Canis lupus familiaris: one gene and its partners. The protein of the gene in region 2 binds, or shares a complex with, the protein of the main gene of each other region. Links are inferred from orthologs where the notes say so. Each region holds a gene or a part of one and is shown on either strand. Other genes may lie near its edges.

Region 1 (5,861 bases), on a different chromosome or scaffold from region 2:
CATCACTTTTATAATTAGAAAATCTACTAAAATGAATTCATTGCTTTGACAGATTATAACTTAATAGTTTTCACAATACACTGACAGACATTAATTGCAAGTCCTATTATACCTCAGTGATTTGTGCTTACTAGTAACACCTTTACTTTTTTACTGTATTTTTGAATAAACGAGATCTATTTTCAGAGTTGCATTTGAAACAACGAACTGTCCAGTAACTTTTACAAAAATTTAACAAAACTGCTAACAAATATCAGATACTTTTCAATGAAAATAACAGCAAAAAATTATCTGATGGGAGCAATTTAAAATACAAAGTCTTAATTATATTATCTTCATGAATTAGAGAAATGCTGTTATTACTTAGCTAAATTTAATGAATGAATGATGTACAAATAAAGCTTTCTCCATCTTGTCTCAATGAACTAATCTTATTTAAAAGGCCAAATTCTACAATATACCCTATACTTTAAAATAGTTTCAAATTCAATACTGGAACTAATCATTTTCCAGGCTCCTCTGAAGTATCTAGGAAGATAATGCAAAATACAAATGCCTTATAGGTAACTACTTTACGCTTTTGTTTTTTAACTTCTAAAGCTGAAAACATACTAACAGCTACAACATAACTGGATGTCCTGAAACTACTAAACAAATCAGTCTAAGTGTAAACAACGCTTTAACGAATCTTTTATAACTTACTCCATAGTTTCTGTATGCTAGAGAATGGTAAGTAAATATAGTTAATTCCCCACCCTGTTTGATTTCCAGGACTATTATTCAGACTATTATTCAGCTTTCCTGTATATAGTCCAGGTAATCCTAGGCAACTGTTACTTTCTCTAAGGAAATCTATTATGAAGATCAAAGCTGTTTTTTCCCAAATCTAGCAAATTTTACCACAGCTAGGAAAAACAAAATTAAGTGTCCCCAATTACCATTAAACTCTTGTGTTCTTAAGTACATCACAAATGATCTTAAAATTCATCTCCTTCTATTGTCATCCACTCTGTGGTTTCCCTCTAACAATAACCTCTACATGACTCACTGTCCATGCTACACAGGTAGAGCTCCAAGAAGCCAATCTAGGATTATGGAGTGGACATCACAACCAGAGATTCTTCATCATGACTATGCTCTATAATAACTGAAACCACTTCCAGATCACACACTTCTAAAGACCATCACTTTCATAATATGACTTCTAAACTCTGAAGGCTAAGTCAAGAAGGGACTATCAGAAGAGAGAGGAGCATTTTCATTCAAATATATCCCCTCCAATCCAATCAAGTTTTTTCAAGCCCATGTGGACAAAACCCATGTGGAAAGTACAGATGGAGAGGAATGGCTTTTCGAAGATAAAGGACAAAAGGTTCACCTGACAGCAACTAATTCTACATAGCAGAACAAAAGAAAAGCTCAGGAGTGAGACATTCAACAACAGCAAGGAAAGAAGAGCAGAAACTTCTTGGGGCAGCACTCTGATCCAAATCCATATAGCTTCCAAGAGTTTCGCAACTACAGCTTCCTTCCTTAAAAAAAAAATTTTGCCCCTTGCTGTTAATTTTGGGTACCAAAAAAAAAAAGTGAAATGACATATTTTGTGCAGTGTAGGAAAGCTTTCAGGCTGGGATAAACTTTAACTCCATCAACAATTTATGAATCCATAAAGTCCTCACTGTTTTCCATCTTAAAAAAGAACTAATTTCTCTTAAAATCTTACGAAAAGTTCTACTTAAAATGCAAATTGTAGATAAAACTGTGGTATGGCATAACTTACTCTTGGGAACAATAATGAAGGAACACTTAAAATATGTACTCAAAACACTAAAAGAACCTGATTTTACTGATGGGTCTGTATCTGGAATATGCTTACACATCTTATAGAATAGCCTGTGAGTTCACTTACCACTCTGTTTTGCAATGAAAACAAAACAATCTCAAAACATATTTTTACACTTTTTACACGTCGATTTTATAAAACAGAATCCTGAAATGAGCACCTGAGACCTTTGGTTAAACTATAATTTTCTTAAACTACAGTACCTACAATGCATGTCCAAAGATTAATACAAAATACTATATAGCTATAAATATTGTACATCTGTACCACATACAAACGCTATTTTTTCTTTATGGAACAGTATGCATTTACTACTAGAAGACTGCTAACCTGTAAGAAAAGAGAAATTTTGAAGGTCTATAAGGACTCATTTACCAAAGGGTAAGTCGGTGAAATATCATACCACTGAGGCATTTATCCAAGAAACTGTAACTTAGAAGTTTATAAATCAAAAAAAAATCTAGGTTCTTTTCAGTAGAAAGTTGTTACGAATATTATAAATCATGAAACATTGAAAAACTATGCTTTTAAAAATTAGCAGGTACTAAACTACTGAGTATCAAACAGTAGTCATTTATAAACTTCAATAAAGAATATTAGAAAATCTTAGATGGCAACAAGTTGTGGACAGAAAAGATCCAAATTAGCTCACAATCATTAACACACACACACAAAAAAAAAAATCAGTTTCAGGACTATGTGCTAACCTATCATATACTATACTCTTTTGCTAAAGGAATCATGAAATTCTTTCCTGCCTCTCCCAATAATAAATACAACATCCAGAAAGAAGGGATCTTTAGTCTTCAAGCTGTATTGACTTACTCCAAGCTCCTAGAACAGTGCCTGGCACACAGTACTCAGTCTTCATTAAACGAATGAGGGAATGAAGACCAGGTAGGAAGAGGTAAACCTAAATGGACGAAAAAGCTAATCACGCTTAAAGGTACAACTGGTTAATCGCAATATTAACAAAAGTGAGTTCATGTCAAATGTGAGCTATGCCGCATTATAGTAGTAAGTTTGAGTTAGAAGAACTCAGACTTCAAGAATAGCAAATTTTTCCTAGAAAACTTGTTATACAGAAAACTATTTGAAACTCTTAATAATTCGAAATCCTGCTAAACATGTTCACAACTGCTTTAGTAGCAAAACTAACATTACTCAAAAATTCCTAAGCCCAGCTCACTTCACTGTTAAGAGAAAACATGCTGACAGACTTCATTAGTTCTCTTCTGCATTAGTGTCTTCCCTCACTGCAAATCACACTTCAGAAAAAAGCAAGCCTTCCCACAGTGAATACAAACCCCACCTTTTCCCCCTTCCCAAAATATGACGTGTGTAGGATTCTAAGACATTCAAGATCTTTCCCCAGTTTTACTGTTGTTTTTTTTTTTTAAAAAAACAAAAAAAACAAAACCTTCCGTTCGACTGCTGGTTTGCCTTTCTTGACATATACCTGTTACCGTAGCGACGTGAGGCAAGAACGTCCAGTTTCTGTTACAACAGTACACTTTAATTGCTTGCCATGGGCTATCTGAATCAGGTATGGCATCCCAAGTTACACTCTCTACACTAAATAATGCCAGCGTATGACTCAACGTAACGCTAAAAAAGAAAGTTTCTAAACAGAGCAGCCTTTGCTGTCGCTGAAACCCACAGCGTAGAGCAACTCGGGGCAGTGACGACCCCCTCCTGCTGGGCTTCCACGGCTAAGATCTGGAGAGGCCATTGTCCAGCGTGTGTTCTCTGGCTTCCCCTTGACCCTCCTACAAGTGGCGAGGCCAATTCCTGCACAAGAAGAGTTTGTAAAGTGCTTTTGGACGCCTGTGGATGAAAGAGGCTATAAATACAGCTGACGAGGTTAGGTGCGTGCGTTACTACCGAGCAGTGCAAGGAGCCACGGTCACTGCGTCGGGGGGCGGGTAGGTGGGCGGCCAGCCCCCTTCCTGCGGAGGCACAGGACAGCCCCCTCCACCCCCCGAAAGGTCTGGCGGGCCCTGGTTGAGGCCGGGTTATTTTTGAGACCGCACGTGAAAAGTTCCACACACGCCCCCCCACACACGGAAGACTTCCACAGTCCCCGTCCCCGCGGGTGTGGTGGTCCCGGGGCGCCGGCAGGGAGGGGAGCACCGGGGGCCGGGCCTACCCCCCGGGAACGTGGGAAGGGGCCGGCCCAGGGGCCCCCGCCGCAGCCGCAGCAGCCGCCGCCCGCCCGCCCGCCGCCGCCGGCCCGAGGCTCCCGGGCGGGTGCGCGGCGCCGGCCTGAGGCGCCGGGGCCCCCGAGCCGCCCGCCCCGTGGCCGGGAAGGCTCGCGCCCCGCGGCCGGCGGCGTGGGGGAGGGGAGGCCGGGCCTGCGGCCTGTTGGGGGAGTTCAGCCCGGGCCTCGCGTGCGGCTCTCCGCCGGGCCCCCCGGCCCCGGGGTCCCAGGCGCCGAGGAGAGACTCACCGGAAAGGCCCGGATCCGCATCTTGGTGTCCTTCCGGCTGCCCGTGCCTTTGCTCAGATTCGACATGGTGCTCGTCCCCTCCCCGGCGGCGGCTTCGGGTCGCACTCCGAGGCGCCGGTGTCACATTTAAGGCGGGCGGGCCGGCGAGGGGCTGCGCTGGGGGGCGGCGGCGGCGGCGGCGGCGGCGGCGCGGCCCCCGGGCTGGGCTGGGGAGCGGGCCGGCCCCTGGGCGGCCGCGGCGGCTCGGGCTCCGGCGGCTCGGGCTCGGGCTCGGGCTCGGGCTCGGGCTCGGGCTCGGGCTGCGGCGGGGCTGGGCTGGGGGGGCTGCGCTGGCGCGGCGCCTCCGCGGGGTCCCCCTCACGCCCGGCTCGGCTCCCTTTATCGCGCTCCTCCGCGATGGCGGCGGCGGCGGCGACGGACAAACATCTCACTGCGCAGGCCGAACGTCCTCCTCCTCCTTCTCCTCCTCCGCCTCGACGAGACGAGATCCGGCCCAGAGGGTGGAGGGGGGAGGAGGGAGGGAGGAGAGCCGGAGAGTGGAGAGATCGGGGGGAGGGGGTGGGAGGACGGGAGGGGGAGGCGGGCGGCCGCGGCGGCGGGGCGGGGCGGGGACGCCGAGATCTCGCGAGACGAGGGCGAGCGCGCTGCCCCGGGTGGGGCGGGGCGAAGCCTGAGAGCGGGCGGGGTCCGCGGGAGGGGAGGAGGGGAGCGGGGAGTTGGGGGAGTGGGCGTGGCCAGCGGGGCGGGGAGGTTGGGTGAGGGGCGGGGCTGAAGGCGGGAGGAGAAAGCTGCCTTTTTGAAAGGGGAGCGACGGCGGCGCGGAGGTGGTTGCTGATTGGTGGAGCGCGGCGCGGGGTGGGAGGGGTCCCGGTCACGTGGGCGGAGGGGGCGGGGCGAGTCCTGAGAGCCGGAGCCGGACGGTAGTGGGCTGGGCGGGGTTGGGCCGGGGTCGGGGGGGGGCGGGGGCGTAGGGGTGCCAGGTGGTTGGCTGCAGTCTTAGAACTGGTTCCTGTGCGAGTTTCTAGGGCATGTGAGCTGGGGGGGTTGGGGGGGGTGTTTGAGTGGAAGCCAGAAAGTCCAAGGAAGAGTTTGTGCAGGAGTCACCTGCGGCCGTGAGTGCTGTGTGCCCTACGAGGGGCTCCAACGGGGTGCGCGCCCCCGCCCTCGGGATTGAGGGGTGCCGCTCATCCAGGCCCCTTCCTGGGGGAACCCGGGACTCCAGAGCGTTAAAACCTCTTTCTCATCCTTGAAATAAAATGACAACTCCCTTCATGTAGTATTTTGGCAGGTGGTGAAGAATAGAGCGGTAGGATGATAGGAACCTGCCCTTGACCTGCCGAATCATTTCTGCCATTAACCAAGAGTATTGTCGATTTTGGAAGCCGAAATTACTGTCTTTGATCCCAGGTTGTTGTGATTTTGGAAGTTGTTTTTGTCACTGTGGTCAAGGGGTCTAGTTGGATTCATCCGTTTTGCTCTTTATCTTTTTATTGATTGTGAATTTTACTTCCTGATTTACCTCTTTGCCCAATTGGTATTCTATCTGGACTTCTGACACTGCAAAGAATT
Region 2 (5,154 bases):
GTGCTCTGTGTCAACTCTGGGCCAGGGTGGCTGGAACTCATCTATTGGCTCCCTTGTAATCTTTGAGCCATGCACAATATCCCTGAAATATCATTACCCATTTTTAAAATAAAAATACCATAAGTTGCTATCCAAAAGCATCATTTCTGCCTGGGGTCAGGCATAAGGTTGGATAAGGGGCAGGAAGTTGGCATTAGAGCGCTCCCAGAGCAGAGATTCAAGCATGGAGGGTCTCTTCTCTCCCACTCCTGCCTCCCCCACATTGGGGCGGGGGGGGAGGGGGGTGCGGGAGGTGGGCAAGGGCAGTCCTACCTCACCTGTGGGCTACAGACTGATGGGGAACAAGAGAGTTAAAATAAAGATCTTAAACACTGGCTGTAGGCTAAATAAGCACTGCCCAATGCAAATCCACTTAATAGAGTTACTAATTAAAAGAGATTTTTTTGTCACTATGTGCTTTCCTAAGGGAGAAATAACAAAAGTACAAACATTATTTGGAAGTGGGCAATTATTTTAATTTAGAGGCTCAAAAATGCACTGTACCATCACAACTATTGCTGTATCAAATGTAAAATTCTTTCTTCTTCTACCACTGAGGTTGGTTTTGTTTTCTGCCCCAGAATCCATTCCAGTGGACCTTCTAAAAGAAAGGGACACCTCCTTTCCAGTTCCATCCTCACCTAAGCCACAGGAGAAATTCCTGACCCAGAAGCTCTTCTAGAGTCCAGGCTGCTTCTATGGGGTGTGCTGGCCAAGACACAACCACCTGCCCTCCCAGCTGCCCACCACTCACCAAAGCCTAAGTCACTTGGGAAAGAGGAAGGCTTGGGATGTGGAGGAGAGGAGAAGCTCCCAAGGGCAACCCCAGTGTCATTCAGACCAGGCAGCCACAGTAGGAGACAGGGAGAGGGAGGAGAGCACGGTGAAACGTGGAGAGCTGTACTTATAAGGCCAGAGTGAAGCAGAAGCCCTGTAAGATGCCCCTGAAACATTCTCACTGGAGTTGTGAGGAGGACCCTCTGCTTGTCCCAGGATGACCCAGAGCCAAAGGGCTTCAAATTTAGGATACACATGATCAACATGTTCCCAGGCTGTCCTCTGTGTCAAAAGGCATGCTACAATACAGCACTCCTTCCACACACACAAGATGCTCCCAAAAGCATTAAGGAGAGGATTTAAAATCACTACCATGAAGGCAACTTCTCTAACCCCCGCCAACCATCTCAACCTTGTATCAGCTGAAAAAATACCCACTCAAGGTTTCTCCTGGAGTCTATTAACAGGGACTTGCTATTTTTAACCCCTCCTCTATTGTTTGATATTCCTGGCTAAGGAACAAGGGGGGAAGTGGGAAGGTGGCTAGACAAAGCACTTACGTTTGGCAGACAAATCAATTTCTGTTCCACCAGGAGGATGAGATTGCAAAAAAACAATTTATCTTGATAGGAGGATGGAATCCTTGCACTCACCAGGATGACTTGTTTAGTATGTTAGAATAATGTACTTTTAAATGGAAATTTACACAATACTGGTACAAAACAAGAAATGCAGTGAGAGAAAAGAATATTTCTATTACTGTCTAATCACTGCATATCAAACTTTCCCCAAAGCAAGTAAGGGTGTTCTTGGGGTGCACATGAAAAGCAGAGAGACAGTGTTGTCCTACAAAGTAGGACATTTTAGTCCAAATCATACTCTGTGCTTTAATACATTGAATTTACACATATTTATAAGACTCCCTGATAGCATTTGCTAATGGTCTGAAAGAGTGTAGCACGATAGAAAGAGCAGTGAGTTTGGAGTCAGAAGACCCAGGCTCCAGGACTGGCTGTGCTATTTATGAATGAGCACATCACTTGCCTCTCTGGCATTCTACTTCCGCATGTGGAGAATGGAGAAAATGTAAGCTTTGCCTATCTTCTTCAAAAGGATTTTGGGAACAAAATTTGTATATAAAGGAGCCATTTATAAACTACAGTCTAACTGAGCCCCAGACCTAATCACTCCCACCTGCCTCACCCCACACACCCTTCCTAACAAGAGCAGGACTCTGTGACCAACCTGTCCTGCCGTGACAGTAATCAGACCAGGAAGGAAATGCCCACTTCACCCTAGGCTCTGTTAATGTGTCAACATAGGAATAGGAAAATAAAATTAATTAAATGAAATGATTCTTACCCCCCATCACATTATGCTCCTCAGTTATATGTTGACCCTGAGTCTTCAACCTGTAAGAGAACTGTTGACAAGTGGCCAAAGGAACAGGCCGGTGTTTCCTCTTAGGCTTCTCTTACTCTTCCCAACACAGCAGGCCACCCGCTAGCCTCGAGCCAGTAGCTGCACCTCAACTTTCCTCACCTGTTCCGTCAGGAGACTAGTACCTGACTCAGAGCTGTGATGGGAGGACTAGAGCCAGGGCATGAGGACAAGACCTGCGGACTGGGGCACAGATAGGGCACCACGCACTTTTGTTCTTACCCTCCACAACGCCCACACCCACGCTGCTCCGCCGTGTGTTCATCGGAGCCACGAAGAACCACTCATTGGTCTTGTAACTGTAGGCTTCCACGGATGCTAGGCCTGGGAGACAAGAGACTCATGAGATTGCCTACAGTGTGAGGCCTCACCCAGTGTGCCCAAGAAAAGCTGGGGAGAGGGTCAGAGACCTGCATGTATGGCTGAGCACCACCTCTACTTTGCTGTGTGGCCTAGGGCAGCTCCCTAAAGCACATCTGCATGGGAGGTGCACCAAGGCCTGACTCAGGGCAGGTCATGAGAGGACACAGGGATACAACTGAACTGCCCTGCAAATGTTAACCGTTACACCTACAGAATAGGGGAAAAAACCTGTGGTTGCCTCACCTAACACCTTTTGCCTTCTCTTCCTTTACATGAGAAGCTGAACACTTACCTTCCCACCCTAGGGGTGACCCAGTCAATGAGGCCTAAGTGGAAGTCTGATGGGCATTTCTGAAATAGCATTTGTTTTTCTGATACAGGTGCCAACACCAACCTGCTGTTGCCACCTGGAACACAAATGTGCTGGCTTAAGCTACCACAGACATCTTATGATTAGGAGAACATAGCCAAGAGACGTTTAAAGAGCTTGGCCACAATATTCTTGATCAAGTGGATGAAGTGAGCAACTACCAACTTCCAGAGTCCCTGTTTCATGGGTAGAACAGTATTTCTCAATTGCATAAGCCACCATATAGTAGAACTTTCTACTTACAGCTGACAGCAACTTCTTAAAGAAACAATGCTCCATTCCCTTTTTTTCTCTTTATTCTCAGGTCCTATCCATTAGTGGAAGCCCCTGGAGGGGCTGTAGACCCTGGAGGTTTATGAGTGAGGCAAAGAGAAGACTGGGAAAGGTTATCAAGTGGTAAAGACACAAATGAAAATTCAATGAAGTAAAAAATCCTGTTTTTTACATCCCTGGGGGCATTTCAGTGTACCAGAGCTACTGTCTACAGAGAGTACCACCTAGAGGTAGATGAGAAATGTGATCATCTCTCCAAGTCCACATCTATTCATAGTTTCTGATTTGAACTCTGAAGTGACACAGAAGCCAGGAGCAAGTGGATGTTCCTGCTGTGGCACAGCCTGGCAAAGCTTCATGGGGCAGGGAAAGGGCAATGGACAAAGATGGCATGCGCCTGAGTCAGGTTTCTCCCATGGTTGAACTCCAGCTCCTTTGTTCGTCCAGCAGAAGGTTTGGACAATCCTAAGATGCCCTGCAGCTAAACATGCTAAGTCTCAGTTTTTGAAAAAAATAGGTTCCCAAACAATAGCAAGGAGAATATGTTCTCTTCTGAGTGCAGAATCCTTCCTAGAGTCCTAGAAATGATAGCATGTGGGCAGTTACATAGTCTGTGTGCAGGAAAGCCTGCCTCTGGCAAGCAAGGTAGGAGATGAGGAAGGATGAGTATGCTGCTGAGGAAGTAGTTCTGGATGGACAGAACATTGGCCCAAGAACTGGCTGAGCAAACCAGGGTTGCCCTGAGGGCATGTCCCAGGCCGGGAGGAATGGAGACCACATCCCAGACCTACCAGTACTGCCATCAAAGCCCCCCACGGCGTAGAGGAGGTCATTGAGCACGGCCGCACCCAGAGTGCTCCGGCGCTCCTGCATGCTGGCGATGGACGTCCACTGGTCCTTCACACCATCATATACGTCCACTGTCCGCACGCGCAGTGAGCCGTTAAACCCGCCCACAGCATACACGTGACCAGCCATGAACACCACACCTGAGGCACAGGAAAACCAAGGCATCGAGGTCATCTCAGGCGGCTGATCACTCATGTGGTGACAATGAGTGACATTGGGGAGCCGGGCAATCACATGAATAATTCACCACAGAAAGTGATCTCCAACTTTATAGAACTGGAAGCCATTATGGACTCTCTGGATTTCCATTCATATATGCTTTTCCAATGTTGTTTGATTCAAGCAAATACTTGTACCAGCCTGAAGTCCCAAAGCACATAAGAACCGACCCCAGAAGGGGCAGCCAGAAACTGGGCAAGTGGGGAAGGAAGAGGAAGAGAGTCTATAATGCACAGATGTTTGTGGAAACAAGGAGCAGTGGAGGACTTCTGGCAGTAAGCAGAGACAAGCTGGGGAAAGCAAGCTGCACAATGACAGATGGTGCTACTCACCTGCTCTGCATCTCCTGGAGGGAAGCTCAGCAATCTGGTCCCACCGGTCCTCTTCGAAATCGTAACATTCCACGCTGCGGATCGCCTTGGGGGCCTGGCCACCAACCACAATCATGACCTCCAGAAAGACAAACAGACATTAGCTGGGTCTGCCCAGCTAATGGATTCACACATGATCAATCCCTGGTACTTCCGCATGCCAGCTGCCCAGGGTCCACGGGCCATCCAGGGTACAGAGTTACACATTTGGAGATGCTGTCCTAAGTCACCAACAAATAGGACAATTCAAGAAAAATCTAACAATAACATCATATGAAGAAACACCATCATGAGAACTACACTTCCAAATCCTTGTGCTCAGGGCTGTGCTGGTGGTACATGTAGCCACTCAGGGCTTGTTCTATGATCACAATGCCCTCAAGGATTTCGGCGAGGGAAACGAAATTTTGCATCAAAACAAAATATCACAAAACATATATCAAAATTTGAATA
Region 3 (5,587 bases), on a different chromosome or scaffold from region 2:
CCAGGGAGAAAAGATGTGCTTCTCCTTGCCCTGCCTCCTCTACCATCCTAGACTGTCCCTGAGCCAGGGTCTGTAAACCTTTAACTTCACATGTGTTCACATACGTAAGTACATACACGCGCCTGCACAAGCTTTTGTCTCTCCCCTTTCCCACCCCTTTAGCTGCTATTGCCTCACCTCTCAGGCTGGTGCTGGATCCTTCCTAAGGGGTGAGAGAAGCCCTGGCTGCAGGCAGCCTTCCAGGCAATATGAAAATAGGAGGCCCAGGAAGGGGCCTGGCGTTGAGGCTGGGCTGGACACTGATTTATGATATTAAAAAGCTCAACCCCACTTGTCTGCCTGACGTTGGAAGTTACTACTGGAATGGTCATGAGGAGGGCTGTGAAGCATTGCCCCTTGAATGAATCCCAGCCTAGGAAAGAGGAGAGGCCTACGGCCTTTGTAGATGAAAAGGTCCTCCAGTGCTGGCAGGCTCCAGTGAGCCTGTGGTTTTACATCTGCTGGGTGGGCTGTGTGGGGGAGTGCTGATGGAACACAGCTTGGGGACAAACTGCTTTCTTTCTCTGAATTAGAGTGACTTAATGGCTTCTCATTTCCTCACGGTCTCCCCCATGAAAGTCCTGAACCACTCTGAAGCCCCTCCCTCCATCCCTCTGGTCTGGGTGGGGTAGTTGAGGCCAAGGGGAGCTGAAGGGGTGTAAACCGGATATGGACTTTGGTTTATTGGGAACTTTGGCAAACAGAAGGAGGAGGAAGGAGAGCCCACATAGCAAAAACAGCTACTGTGGCCAGGGCCAGGCTGCGGCCAAGGTAGGGAGGTGGAGGGGATGGGTGACCGGGTCCTTGGCTTGGGGGAGGGGCTTTCCCTGGGGTGCACACACCCATCCCTGTGCAGTTCAGAGGGACAGCGGCTTGGGAGAAAACCAGACCTTTCCACTGACCTCTGTATTGTCGGCCTGGGGCTACCTTATCTGGGGAGTGCAGGCGGGTGGTAACCTTCCCTTAACCACCCCCCTTTCTAGAGCCCGAGAGCATTGGTCATGTTTCCTCTCCCAGCCCCAGCATTAAGCCTCCACCACCCGCCCCCAAACAGGTTTGCGCACTCTTGTTGCGGGAGGGCACGCTGCCGTCTAGCACCCGGTCCACCTCGGAATGATCCCGCAGGCGGGTGCGCCCGGAGGCGAGGGAGAGGAGGGCCTGCGGCCGGGGGCGGGGCTGCTGAGGTGAGGGGCTGCTCCGCCGCTGGCCGCTCCGAGGGGGCGGCCCTGGGGGGTGAGGCCGGGGGCGGGGCCGGGGGCGGGGCCGGGGGTTAGGCGAGCCGGGGACTGGGGCCCCAGGAGCTCAGCCGGAGCGCTGCGCACCCAGCCAATCCTTGCCTGTCAGGCCGCCTCCTCTCCAGCAGCCCGGCTTGCTGCCTTGCGGCGCCGGCCCTTCCTCATGCTGGCACCCCCGACCTCCGAGACTGCAGTCCCCATGTCCCAGGCGGAGGCCGACCTGGGCCTGCGGCCCCCGCCGCCTCTCGCCGCCGCCGCCGCCGCCGCCGCCGGTCCGCCCCGCCTCGGGCCCCCTCCTCGCCGGGCGCGCCGCTTCTCCGGGAAGGCTGAGCCCCGGCCGCGCTCTTCCCGTCTCAGCCGCCGAAGCTCCGTCGACTTGGGACTGCTGAGCTTGTGGTCCCAGCCAGCTTCACCCGTTCCGGAGCCCCCTGATCCTCCGGACTCCGCTGGTGCCGGCCCCGCGAGGAGCCCACCGCCTAGCCGTCCAGAGCCCCCCGAGGGCACGTGGACTGGGGGAGCCCCGGTGAAGGCTGCAGACTCCACGCGTCCAGAGCTCCCGGGCTCCACAGGGGGCCCCGGGGGCCGGGATCCGCAGACTGCCCCCGAAGCTGCGGCTCGGGAGCGGCAGCGGGAGCAGGAGGAAAAGGAGGACACGGAGACCCAGGCAGTGGCAACATCCCCGGATGGCCGATACCTCAAGTTTGACATCGAGATTGGACGTGGCTCGTTCAAGACGGTGTATCGAGGGCTGGACACTGACACCACGGTGGAGGTGGCCTGGTGTGAGCTGCAGGTGTGGCTGGGCGCCCCCTCTGTGGCATCTTGGGATGGGACCCTTTAGAGGTTTTGGGATGAGAAACCTAGGGGACAGCAGCAAGGGAGAGATCTGTCTTTTCAGTCAAATGTCCGAACACTCCTGCCTGCACCCCCTTGGTCTGATGATCTATGGATCTGGCTGATTCTGGGCTGCAGAAGGATAAACTGAGACAGAGGGTGGCTCCCCTATGGGTTTTGGACATTCTAACTTTAAAGTCTCTATACTCAACCCTGAGAGGTGGAAGATAGAATGCAAAATCAGATAGGGAGCCAGTTCAGATCTAAGGTGTGACTGGCCTCACCAATCTCCTCCTATTGTCTCTTCCTTTCCCTTTCCTCTTAGTCCTGAGACCCTCGGTGTGTCCCTGGTCATCCTCCTCCTTCACCCCAGATCTCTGAAGAGTAAGAGGCTGGGATGATGGAGGCCAGGAGTTGCGGCAGGATCCTCTCCATTTCCAGCAGATTTAGAGTGGTGGTGGCAGGATGGGGCCCACCCAGGCCCCTTCTGGAGCATCAGACTTATAGACAGACTTCCACACAACTGGAGGCGGGCGAGATAGAGAGCTCCAGCCCTGGTCTGAGTCCAGTCCTGCTCCTCATCTCACTGTGTACTTGGGCTCTCCCTTCCCAGACCCAAAAGCACTGAACCCAGTGGGTTTTAGGAGGATGTTGGTGGGAAGGACCTTCCTCTCACGGAGGGAAGAACCCAGTTAAGTCTGGGCCAGCAGCTTTGGATTCAAACCGGGGAGCAGAGCCTGGGTAAGGGTCCTCCCCTCCAGCTCTGGCACTGGGCTCTCCCCTTGCGCCTGCCAGTGCCGCGCCCCAGGCTCTAGGCCAGGCAAGGAGAGGCAGCCAAATGAGGGGGGTTGGGGGGAGGTGGGGGGGGCAGGACAGCCAAGGGGCAGGGGGCAGTCTCCTGGTGCCTGGTCCTGGATCGTTCTCTTTCTCTGTAACTCCCTTTGCAGCCCTCCTGCCTCCTGTCTGGATCTAGCAGTTCTCGGTTTCTGGGGCCAACCCCCTTGAAGGCCCCAATTCTCTGCCTGCTGTCAGCCTGCTGCCTGCCTGCTGCCTGCCCATTGCCAGCCCCGGGGCGTCCCCTCCCGCCCCACGGCTGGCCCAGGAGGCTACAAAGGCGCTATTGAGCTCAGGGCTCCTGGACGGGGCTGCATAAAGGCCCTTGTGTCCAGCAGGGGGTCCAGGGGTGGCCCCAGGCCCAGGATGGGCGTGTCCCTGCAGCAGCCTGAGGGGGCGGATCAGGAATTAGGGGCATACAGCCCCTTGGGCAAGTGATGACCTAACCTGGTCTGTGGGCTCCAACCCTTACCTCTCACCCAGCTGCTCCCTCCATGTGCCCCTTCCTCCTCTCTATGGGGTCCTGGACCCGACATGACCTTGACCCCCATCCCCTACCCCACAGACTCGGAAACTGTCTCGAACCGAGCGGCAGCGATTCTCTGAGGAAGTGGAGATGCTCAAGGGGCTGCAGCACCCCAACATCGTCCGCTTCTACGACTCGTGGAAGTCAGTGCTGAGGGGCCAGGTTTGCATTGTGCTGGTCACCGAACTCATGACCTCCGGCACCCTCAAGACGTGAGCTCTGTGCCTGGTGGTAGTGTTGGTTGGTGGGAGAGCTGGTAGTGGGAGGTCCCCACTGTTTCTGGAACTTCTCCCAGGCTCCTCAAACTCTAGATTTAGGTCCCAAACCAGGCTTGCTACTTCTCATCCACCCCTACTGCGTCTCTGCCTTCTTGAGTGACAGTGTCCACCCAGCCAAAACTCAGGCATCTCCCCAGATGCCTTTTTTATCTCCACTCTGTGCATCCACCTATCCCTATCAATTTCTCTCCAAGGTTTCCTTATAATTCCCCACTCTGCTTTCCCTGTTCCATCCACTGCCATCTCATTGGTCTAAAACCCTGCAGCAGCCCCCTAATGGGCCTTTTCCCACTCTGCCCTCACCTTTCCAACCTATCCTATCTTCCTGCAGTCGGGGGAATCTCTCTGTTCCTTTTTTTTTTTTTTTTTTTTTTTTTAAGATTTTATTTATTTATTTGAGACACACACAGAGAGAGATAGAGAGAGGCAGAGACACAGGGAGAGGGAGAAGCAGGCTCCATGCAGGGAGCCTGACGTGGAACTTGATCCCGGGTCTCCAGGATCACACCCTGGGCTGCATGCGGCGCTAAACCACTGCGCTACCGGGGCTGCCCTCTCTGTTCCTTAAAACCCCTTCAAGGTTTCCCACCTCCCTCAGGTTAAAGTCCACTCTTCTTAGGATTTAGCCTCATCTTGAACTTGGACTCCACACAGGCGGAATTCCCTGTACCTCCTCCCACCCTGCCCTGCTGCTGTCTCCGTGCCTTTGAGCACAGTGTCCCTGCCGCCTGGAAAGTCTCCATCCCTTCCCCTTTTCACCCTTGAACCCCTACTCATCCTTCAAGATGCAACATAAAAGTTATTTCCTCTCTGAAGCCCTCCCCCCACGCCCAGAGCAATTAGTCATCCCTTTCCTTGCTCCCACAGCCCCCAGGAACGGCCCTATCTGCAAGTTTCCCGCCCAACCCGTTTCCTAATCTCACTTCTACCTAGCACACCCCCGACTCAGTTTCTCCCTGGAGCCCGACAGGCAAGCCAGCTAGAAGAATGCTGGCAGAAGATGCGTAGGAGGCGGTGCCAGGGGGACTAGGGGAACTTCCCAGCGAGGGTCCCCTCCCCCGCCTCCGTGTCCCCGCCGCAACCCTGGCTATGTGCCTTTCCTCCAGATACCTGAGGCGGTTCCGCGAGATGAAGCCACGAGTCCTTCAGCGCTGGAGCCGCCAGATCCTCCGGGGTCTTCATTTCCTACACTCCCGGGTACCCCCCATTCTGCACAGGGATCTCAAGTGCGACAACGTCTTTATTACGGGCCCTTCCGGTTCGGTCAAGATTGGGGACCTGGGCCTGGCCACGCTCAAGCGGGCCTCCTTTGCCAAGAGCGTGATCGGTGCGTCTCTCCAGGAGGTCCTTGCTATTCACACCTCCCCCCTCCAGGAGGTCCTTGCTATTCACACCTCCCCCGCGTCAGAAGAGAGCCTGGCAACTCCCCTTCCCAGCAGGTGTCCTTTGAGTTGCACGGAGTTAGAAGAGCAGGGGACTTGGGGAGGCCTATAGCATCTTCTCTCCCCCTTACTGCCCGCTCCCCCCTCCCCCAACACACGCAGTGGGGAAGGGTCTGTCGCTAGCACTCCAGAATGCTCAGGGTTGCCCCTGCCCCCCACCCCCTGACTAGGCAGCGGTGCCCAGGAAGAGGGACGAAGCCCGAGGAGGCTTCTGTAGCTTGATGCCTGCCTGCTGTGGCTCCTACAGGGACCCCTGAGTTCATGGCTCCTGAGATGTACGAGGAAAAGTACGATGAGGCCGTGGACGTGTACGCGTTCGGCATGTGCATGCTGGAGATGGCGACCTCGGAGTACCCTTACTCAGAGTGCCAGAATGCCGCGCAAATCTACCGCAAGGTC
Region 4 (5,154 bases), on a different chromosome or scaffold from region 2:
ATCACCAATGGCCATTAATTTAAATCAATAATACCTACTATAATGAAGCTTCCATAAAAATCCCTTAACTATAGGGTTTGGGGAGCTTCCAGGTTGGTAAATAAATGAAAGCTGGGAGAGTGGCACTCCCAAGAGGGCATGGAAGCTCCATGCCCCTTCCCCTATATCTTGCCATCTGGTTGTTCCTCAGTTGTGTCCTTTTATAATAAACTGATGATCTAGTAAGTAAACTGTTCTTTCTGAGTTCTGTAAGCTGTTCTAGTAAATAACTGAACCCAAGGAAGAGCTTGTAGGAACCTTTGATTTACAACAGGTTGGTCAGAAGCATACGTAGTACTACCTGGACTTATGATTGGCATCTGTGGAACTGAGACCTTAACCTGTAGATCCGATGCTATCTTTGTAGTTTTCAATCATCAAAAATTCCCAATCATTAAAATGTCACCAATTGTGGGGCACCTGGGTGGTTCAGTCAGTTAAGTGTCTGACTTTTGGCTCTGGTTCAGGTCATGATCTCAAGGTTTTGAGTTAGAGCCCTGTTCTGGGCTCCACTTTCAGCACGGAGTCTGCTTGAGATTCTTTCCCCTCTGTCCCTTCCCTGCTCACTCTCCCTCTCTCTCAAATAAGTAAATAAATATTTTTTTAAATGTCACCAATTGTAAATTAGCTATCAAATACTTAATTCTATAAAACTCCAGGCAGATTTGTGATAAAAGAGAAACAATCAAAAAAAAAAGAGAGAGAGAGAGAGAGAAACAATCTTACTTTTCTCGTAATCTTTGAAGCTCTGCCTTCAAATCCTCATCCTCTATTTCTGACTCATCATCACTGCTCATTGGAGAAGATGGCGAATAGAAGAGTGAGCTCTGTATTTGAGCACAGGCTTTTTCTTCACGGAGTGGTAAGCACTGACCACTCTCTGGACCAGTGTTTGCCACTGACTTCCCTCTGACAGCAAGAGTGGCTGAAAATTCACTATCAGAGCTTGGCTGTTTCCCAGCAATAAGTATCTCTCTCTCTTTAAGCAACAATTCAAGTCCAGAATGCACACTACTTTCCGTGGCTGAGTTTTCCCCCAATTCTTTTTCTGGGGTCATTGAAGATACATCAGCTTCATGAGCTGTGCTGAAAGATGTGAGGTTGTCACCTTGTTTGAGAATTTTTTTATCTTCTTTAAAGGTTTCATGAAGAACTCGTAACTTCTGAGAAGGAAGTGAAGTTTGTGGATTGTGTGTGGCAGGTTCCATTTCCACTAACTGAGACTTTGCCATGTCCGTAAAGGCTAAAACTTCTTCACTAGAATGAGTTGTCAGTTTATTGAATGCTGGTGTGCGTTCTATTCCAAAAGATGTCACTTTCACTGACTGTTGCTGAGGAACTGTAATCACCTGAGAAACAAAAAGGCAAAAGTGGCTGGTTCTGTCTAACCAAAGAGTAAACCCACAAAGAAATTCAATATCAAAATATGGCACAGACAAGTGGATGTACACACATTGATAATATCCAAACTTAAAATCCCATCTATAATTCCCATTTTCAAAGTCTTTCACTCGGGCTCCTTGGGTAAAGAGAGTGGGCTTCATGTTACTCAAATAAAATACTACAATTTAAAATTTTTGATAATTCAAGTTGCTGAGATTCTAAAGGACAAGAAATAGATTTATAAAAAAGATGATCCAACCACCCACTGAAAAATGGTAACTCATTTCTGTGCTCTTTTCCAGCTACTAAAATTACTTCTTTAGACTTGCCTTTACTGGAAGGCTACGAAAGGTAACGGGCTGTGTATAAGGGGAAAAAATTAAATATGACAATAATCTACATCTAAGATAAATATCCTCTAAATACCAAGATCTTCAATGCCCGTGTAGATAAAGATTCAACCAAAGACACAAACCTGGAATCGACCCCGCTGAAATGATCCACTCATTGCTTTACATCTACTCAAAGCCCTAGTATCAGCTGTGGACTCTCCTGTCAGAGGAATGGGATCAGGACCAACTGCTGATCTCCTATCTTCTGTTTCCACTGCAAGTTTTATGCAATTGTAAGCAGAAAAGAGAAAATTGTTTGTTAAGACTAAATTTGTTTATATTACCAAAAAAATGAAGAAATGTAGAAAAAGCTTAACCCTGCTAGATAATTAAAAAGTGTTAATGTAATAAGCAACATTGTAGAAGTCCCTAACTCAAAATCAGACATTGTAAGACTTATCCCGAGACTTAGTATCTACATGAAATGAGTAACTATAAAATCAAATTAGTTACAAAAGGAAAATGGCAATGACATTAATGGGACATGTCACATACATGGGCTATGTGGAAAAAGTGGTTAAGATCTGTATATGAACAAACAAACAACAACAAAAAAAAGAAGTAAATGAAAAGTGATGTTACCTAGTCTATGTCCCTGACTGTAAGCACACTACCTTGACGGACTTTTGATCTCTTGAAAAAGCTGGTTGACTGCCGTAGCCTGTATGCCCAGCTTTTTAATTTGCGAGTCCAGGATTTCTTGCTAATAGGATTTTTGAGACTAGGACAAGTAAAGCTTAGGCCAAAATATCCACCTCCTGTCTGCAGATGAATGGCTCCACCGCTTGACACAGCAGCAGGATAGGCCTCTGGATCTCCTGGAAGTGAAGCATCTGGAGACATCTCCTAATGGAGACAAAAAGAGAAAAACCAAAATGGTAATAATTTGTATAAGGTGAAGCAGTTGTGTACACCACTGGAGTTTCTTGCATGGACTAATGAGTAAGCATAAATAAAATGCTATATATATTTACATATCAGAGTGCATCTGAAATAGTCAACTTCTAGGAATTAATCCTTTCCTTTTCTTTAAAAATATTATCTGAACTTCAGATAAATAAAGAGCAGAATATTAATCTTCCACCCTAGAATATTTTCCATTATAGCAACTTTGAAAACTGAAGATTAAAATTTAAGTTATTTCCTTCATAAACTTCATTTAATAAAAATGGTTACTGAAACCCTATGCTCTTAAAATGAAACTTTCATTTATGCTCATATTTGTGAGAGTTAAAGATGCCTAATACACATGATAACATAGAAAAACAAGATATCTAGGCATTTAGATTTGTAGAGAAATCTTACCAAATTGAATTTCTTACTTTATGTAAGCACACAGAAATTTACAATGGGCCTCAAAATTATTTCAAATTCTTGCTCTAAAAATTGTTAACATCAGGCCATAGTTGGCTATAAAATCACTCTCCTCTTCTTGTCTTCCTACCTCTCCCAACATGTCAGAATTAACTGCTGTATTCTGAGTACTTTAATAATAAATCCTCCATAATAATTAATACAAAAAATACTCACTTTTGAGAAACATGAAACTAGAATTTGAGCTCCACAAAAAGAGATCCTGACTTACTCACTGAATGGGAGAGTAAACTGGTTGGCGTACCACAGAAAGAATAGATAATGCAGTTCTTTCCCTCCCTATCTCTACAAGCAAAAGACAGCAGGGGCATCTGCTCCCAAATAAGAGTGGTGAGAGGAAAATGTGGCCAAATCAGCAATGTAGGAAGGAGACAACTTCCACAAGGAAGGAAAAGCACTTCTATCTTTGAAGACTATTAAGCCACCCTCCTGGCAGCATTTGGAGAAAAATTATAATATTCAGAGCCAAAAAACATGTCCCATGCCTTTCCCACAATTACCAGAGGAAGGCTACAATAATTATATATAGCATTTAGAGAGACAAACAAAGAATCTTAACAGGGGAAAAAGAAGAGTACACAACTAAGAATCATCAAATGTGGGAAATTGATACTATAAGAAAATACTAGGGGCACCTGGCTAGTTCAGTCAGTGGAGCATATGACTCTTGATCTCAGGATTGTGAGTCCACACTGCGTGTGGAGCCTGCATAAAAAGTAAGTAAATAAAAATTTTTAAAAAGAAAGCAAGCACTAAATTCAACAACAAGAAGAATAGCCAATAACACAGAATAAGACTTTAATTAATCTCTAGAAAAATGTGTGAAGATAATACAAACATAAGAAAAATAATGAACTATAGTTACTGGAAATTAAAAATGTAATCCTGGGATCCCTGGGTGGCGCAGTGGTTTAGCGCCTGCCTTTGGCCCAGGGCGCGATCCTGGAGACCCGGGATCGAATCCCACGTCAGGCTCCCGGTGCATGGAGCCTGCTTCTCCCTCTGCCTGTGTCTCTGCCTCTCTCTCTCTCTCTCTCTCTCTCTGTGACTATCATAAATAAATAAAAATTTAAAAAATTAAAAAAATAAATAAATAAATAAATAAAAAAAATAAAAATGTAATCCTTAGGGTGCCTGGGTGGCTCAGTGGGTTAGGTGTCCAACTCCTGATTTTGGCTCAGATCATGATCTCAGGGTTGTGAGATCGCATCCTGCATTGGGCTCCAGGCTGGGTGTGGAGCCTGCTTGAGCTTCTCCCTCTCCCTCTGCCCTTCTCCCTGCCCCTTTCTTAAAAAATGATAAAAGTAAAAATAATAAAAATGAAAAAACAAAAATAGAATCCTTGACATAAAAAATAGCTGAACAGGAAATTGGAAACAGCTTAAAAATTGAGAAATTCTCTACAAAAAGCAGAAGGACAAAGAGATGGAAAGCATGCAATGAAAAGTTAATAGATAAGGAAGTGAAGAAATAAACTATCTCTTTTTGCAGACAATATGATCTTATGTATTATACATATAATCCTAAATAATACACAAATTCAGCAAAATTGAAGGATACAAAATCAACACTTCAAAATTGGTTATACTTTATACAATAGCAATGAAAAATCTGAAAAGGAAATTAAGAAAACAATTCCATTTATAATAACAACAAAGAATAACAATGGTGCTGGAACAACTAGACAGTCAGATGCAAAAGAATAAGGTGAACTCTTATTTCACACAATATATATATATAAAAACTAACTCAAAATGACCCTGCCACGTATACTTAATCAAGTGTGAAACAAACAAAAGGCATTTTTGGACTTTAAAAAAATAGTCACCCATACAACATACCTAAAAATATTACTCATAGAAGCATTTCAGGGGGGGAAAGGGAATTCTAGGACACCAGAAACAGTTAAGACTGATCCAGATGTAGCAGTGGACACTTTAAAAGAATCTATTTGACCTTGACATTT

The links.
Region 1: the proteins of KLHL3 (region 2) and CUL3 are in contact, whole or in part, in a crystal structure (PDB 4HXI), measured with the Homo sapiens proteins. The link is inferred for Canis lupus familiaris from reciprocal best matches to the Homo sapiens genes KLHL3 and CUL3. Residues at the interface, in NP_059111.2 of Homo sapiens: Pro73, Tyr74, Ala77, Met78, Asp82, Met83, Ser84, Glu85, Glu92, Ile93, Lys94, Asp95, Pro125, Ser128, Leu129, Gln131, Met133, Arg136, Asp160, Val161, His162, Thr163, Thr165; in NP_003581.1 of Homo sapiens: Ile44, Asn49, Ser50, Gly51, Leu52, Ser53, Phe54, Glu55, Leu57, Tyr58, Arg59, Tyr62, Thr63, Leu66, Lys68, Met118, Asp121, Ile122, Met124, Tyr125, Arg128, Val129, Gln133.
Region 3: the proteins of KLHL3 (region 2) and WNK4 are in contact, whole or in part, in a crystal structure (PDB 4CH9), measured with the Homo sapiens proteins. The link is inferred for Canis lupus familiaris from reciprocal best matches to the Homo sapiens genes KLHL3 and WNK4. Residues at the interface, in NP_059111.2 of Homo sapiens: Arg339, Phe355, Gly357, Ser358, Leu359, Arg360, Thr386, Phe402, Gly404, Gly407, Ser432, Tyr449, Gly451, Ser481, His498, Arg528, Tyr577; in NP_115763.2 of Homo sapiens: Glu557, Pro558, Glu559, Glu560, Pro561, Glu562, Ala563, Asp564, Gln565.
Region 4: the proteins of KLHL3 (region 2) and WNK3 are in contact, whole or in part, in a crystal structure (PDB 5NKP), measured with the Homo sapiens proteins. The link is inferred for Canis lupus familiaris from reciprocal best matches to the Homo sapiens genes KLHL3 and WNK3. Residues at the interface, in NP_059111.2 of Homo sapiens: Lys312, Arg339, Phe355, Gly357, Arg360, Thr386, Phe402, Gly404, Ser405, Gly407, Ser432, Ser433, Tyr449, Gly451, Arg454, Cys456, Ser481, His498, Arg528, Tyr577; in NP_065973.2 of Homo sapiens: Glu537, Cys538, Glu539, Glu540, Thr541, Glu542, Val543, Asp544, Gln545, His546.

What each region holds. Positions count from the first base shown.
Region 1 is NC_049246.1:38,008,520-38,014,380, forward strand, and holds the start of CUL3 (cullin-3), read right to left. Parts: upstream 3,591-5,861; 5' UTR 3,576-3,590; coding exon 3,504-3,575; exon of another isoform or gene 3,335-3,503; intron 3,324-3,334; exon of another isoform or gene 3,303-3,323; intron 1-3,302. UniProt on the Homo sapiens protein: Core component of multiple cullin-RING-based BCR (BTB-CUL3-RBX1) E3 ubiquitin-protein ligase complexes which mediate the ubiquitination and subsequent proteasomal degradation of target proteins.
Region 2 is NC_049232.1:25,382,858-25,388,011, forward strand, and holds part of KLHL3 (kelch-like protein 3), read right to left. Parts: intron 4,781-5,154; coding exon 4,663-4,780; intron 4,252-4,662; coding exon 4,054-4,251; intron 2,581-4,053; coding exon 2,479-2,580; intron 2,119-2,478; coding exon of another isoform or gene 1,997-2,118; exon of another isoform or gene 1-1,996. UniProt on the Homo sapiens protein: Substrate-specific adapter of a BCR (BTB-CUL3-RBX1) E3 ubiquitin ligase complex that acts as a regulator of ion transport in the distal nephron.
Region 3 is NC_049230.1:20,109,182-20,114,768, reverse strand, and holds the start of WNK4 (serine/threonine-protein kinase WNK4), read left to right. Parts: upstream 1-1,330; 5' UTR 1,331-1,437; coding exon 1,438-2,067; intron 2,068-2,721; exon of another isoform or gene 2,722-2,849; intron 2,850-3,507; coding exon 3,508-3,680; intron 3,681-4,852; coding exon 4,853-5,073; intron 5,074-5,435; coding exon 5,436-5,587. UniProt on the Homo sapiens protein: Serine/threonine-protein kinase component of the WNK4-SPAK/OSR1 kinase cascade, which acts as a key regulator of ion transport in the distal nephron and blood pressure.
Region 4 is NC_049260.1:46,311,444-46,316,597, forward strand, and holds part of WNK3 (serine/threonine-protein kinase WNK3), read right to left. Parts: intron 2,661-5,154; coding exon 2,570-2,660; intron 2,029-2,569; coding exon 1,898-2,028; intron 1,389-1,897; coding exon 766-1,388; intron 1-765.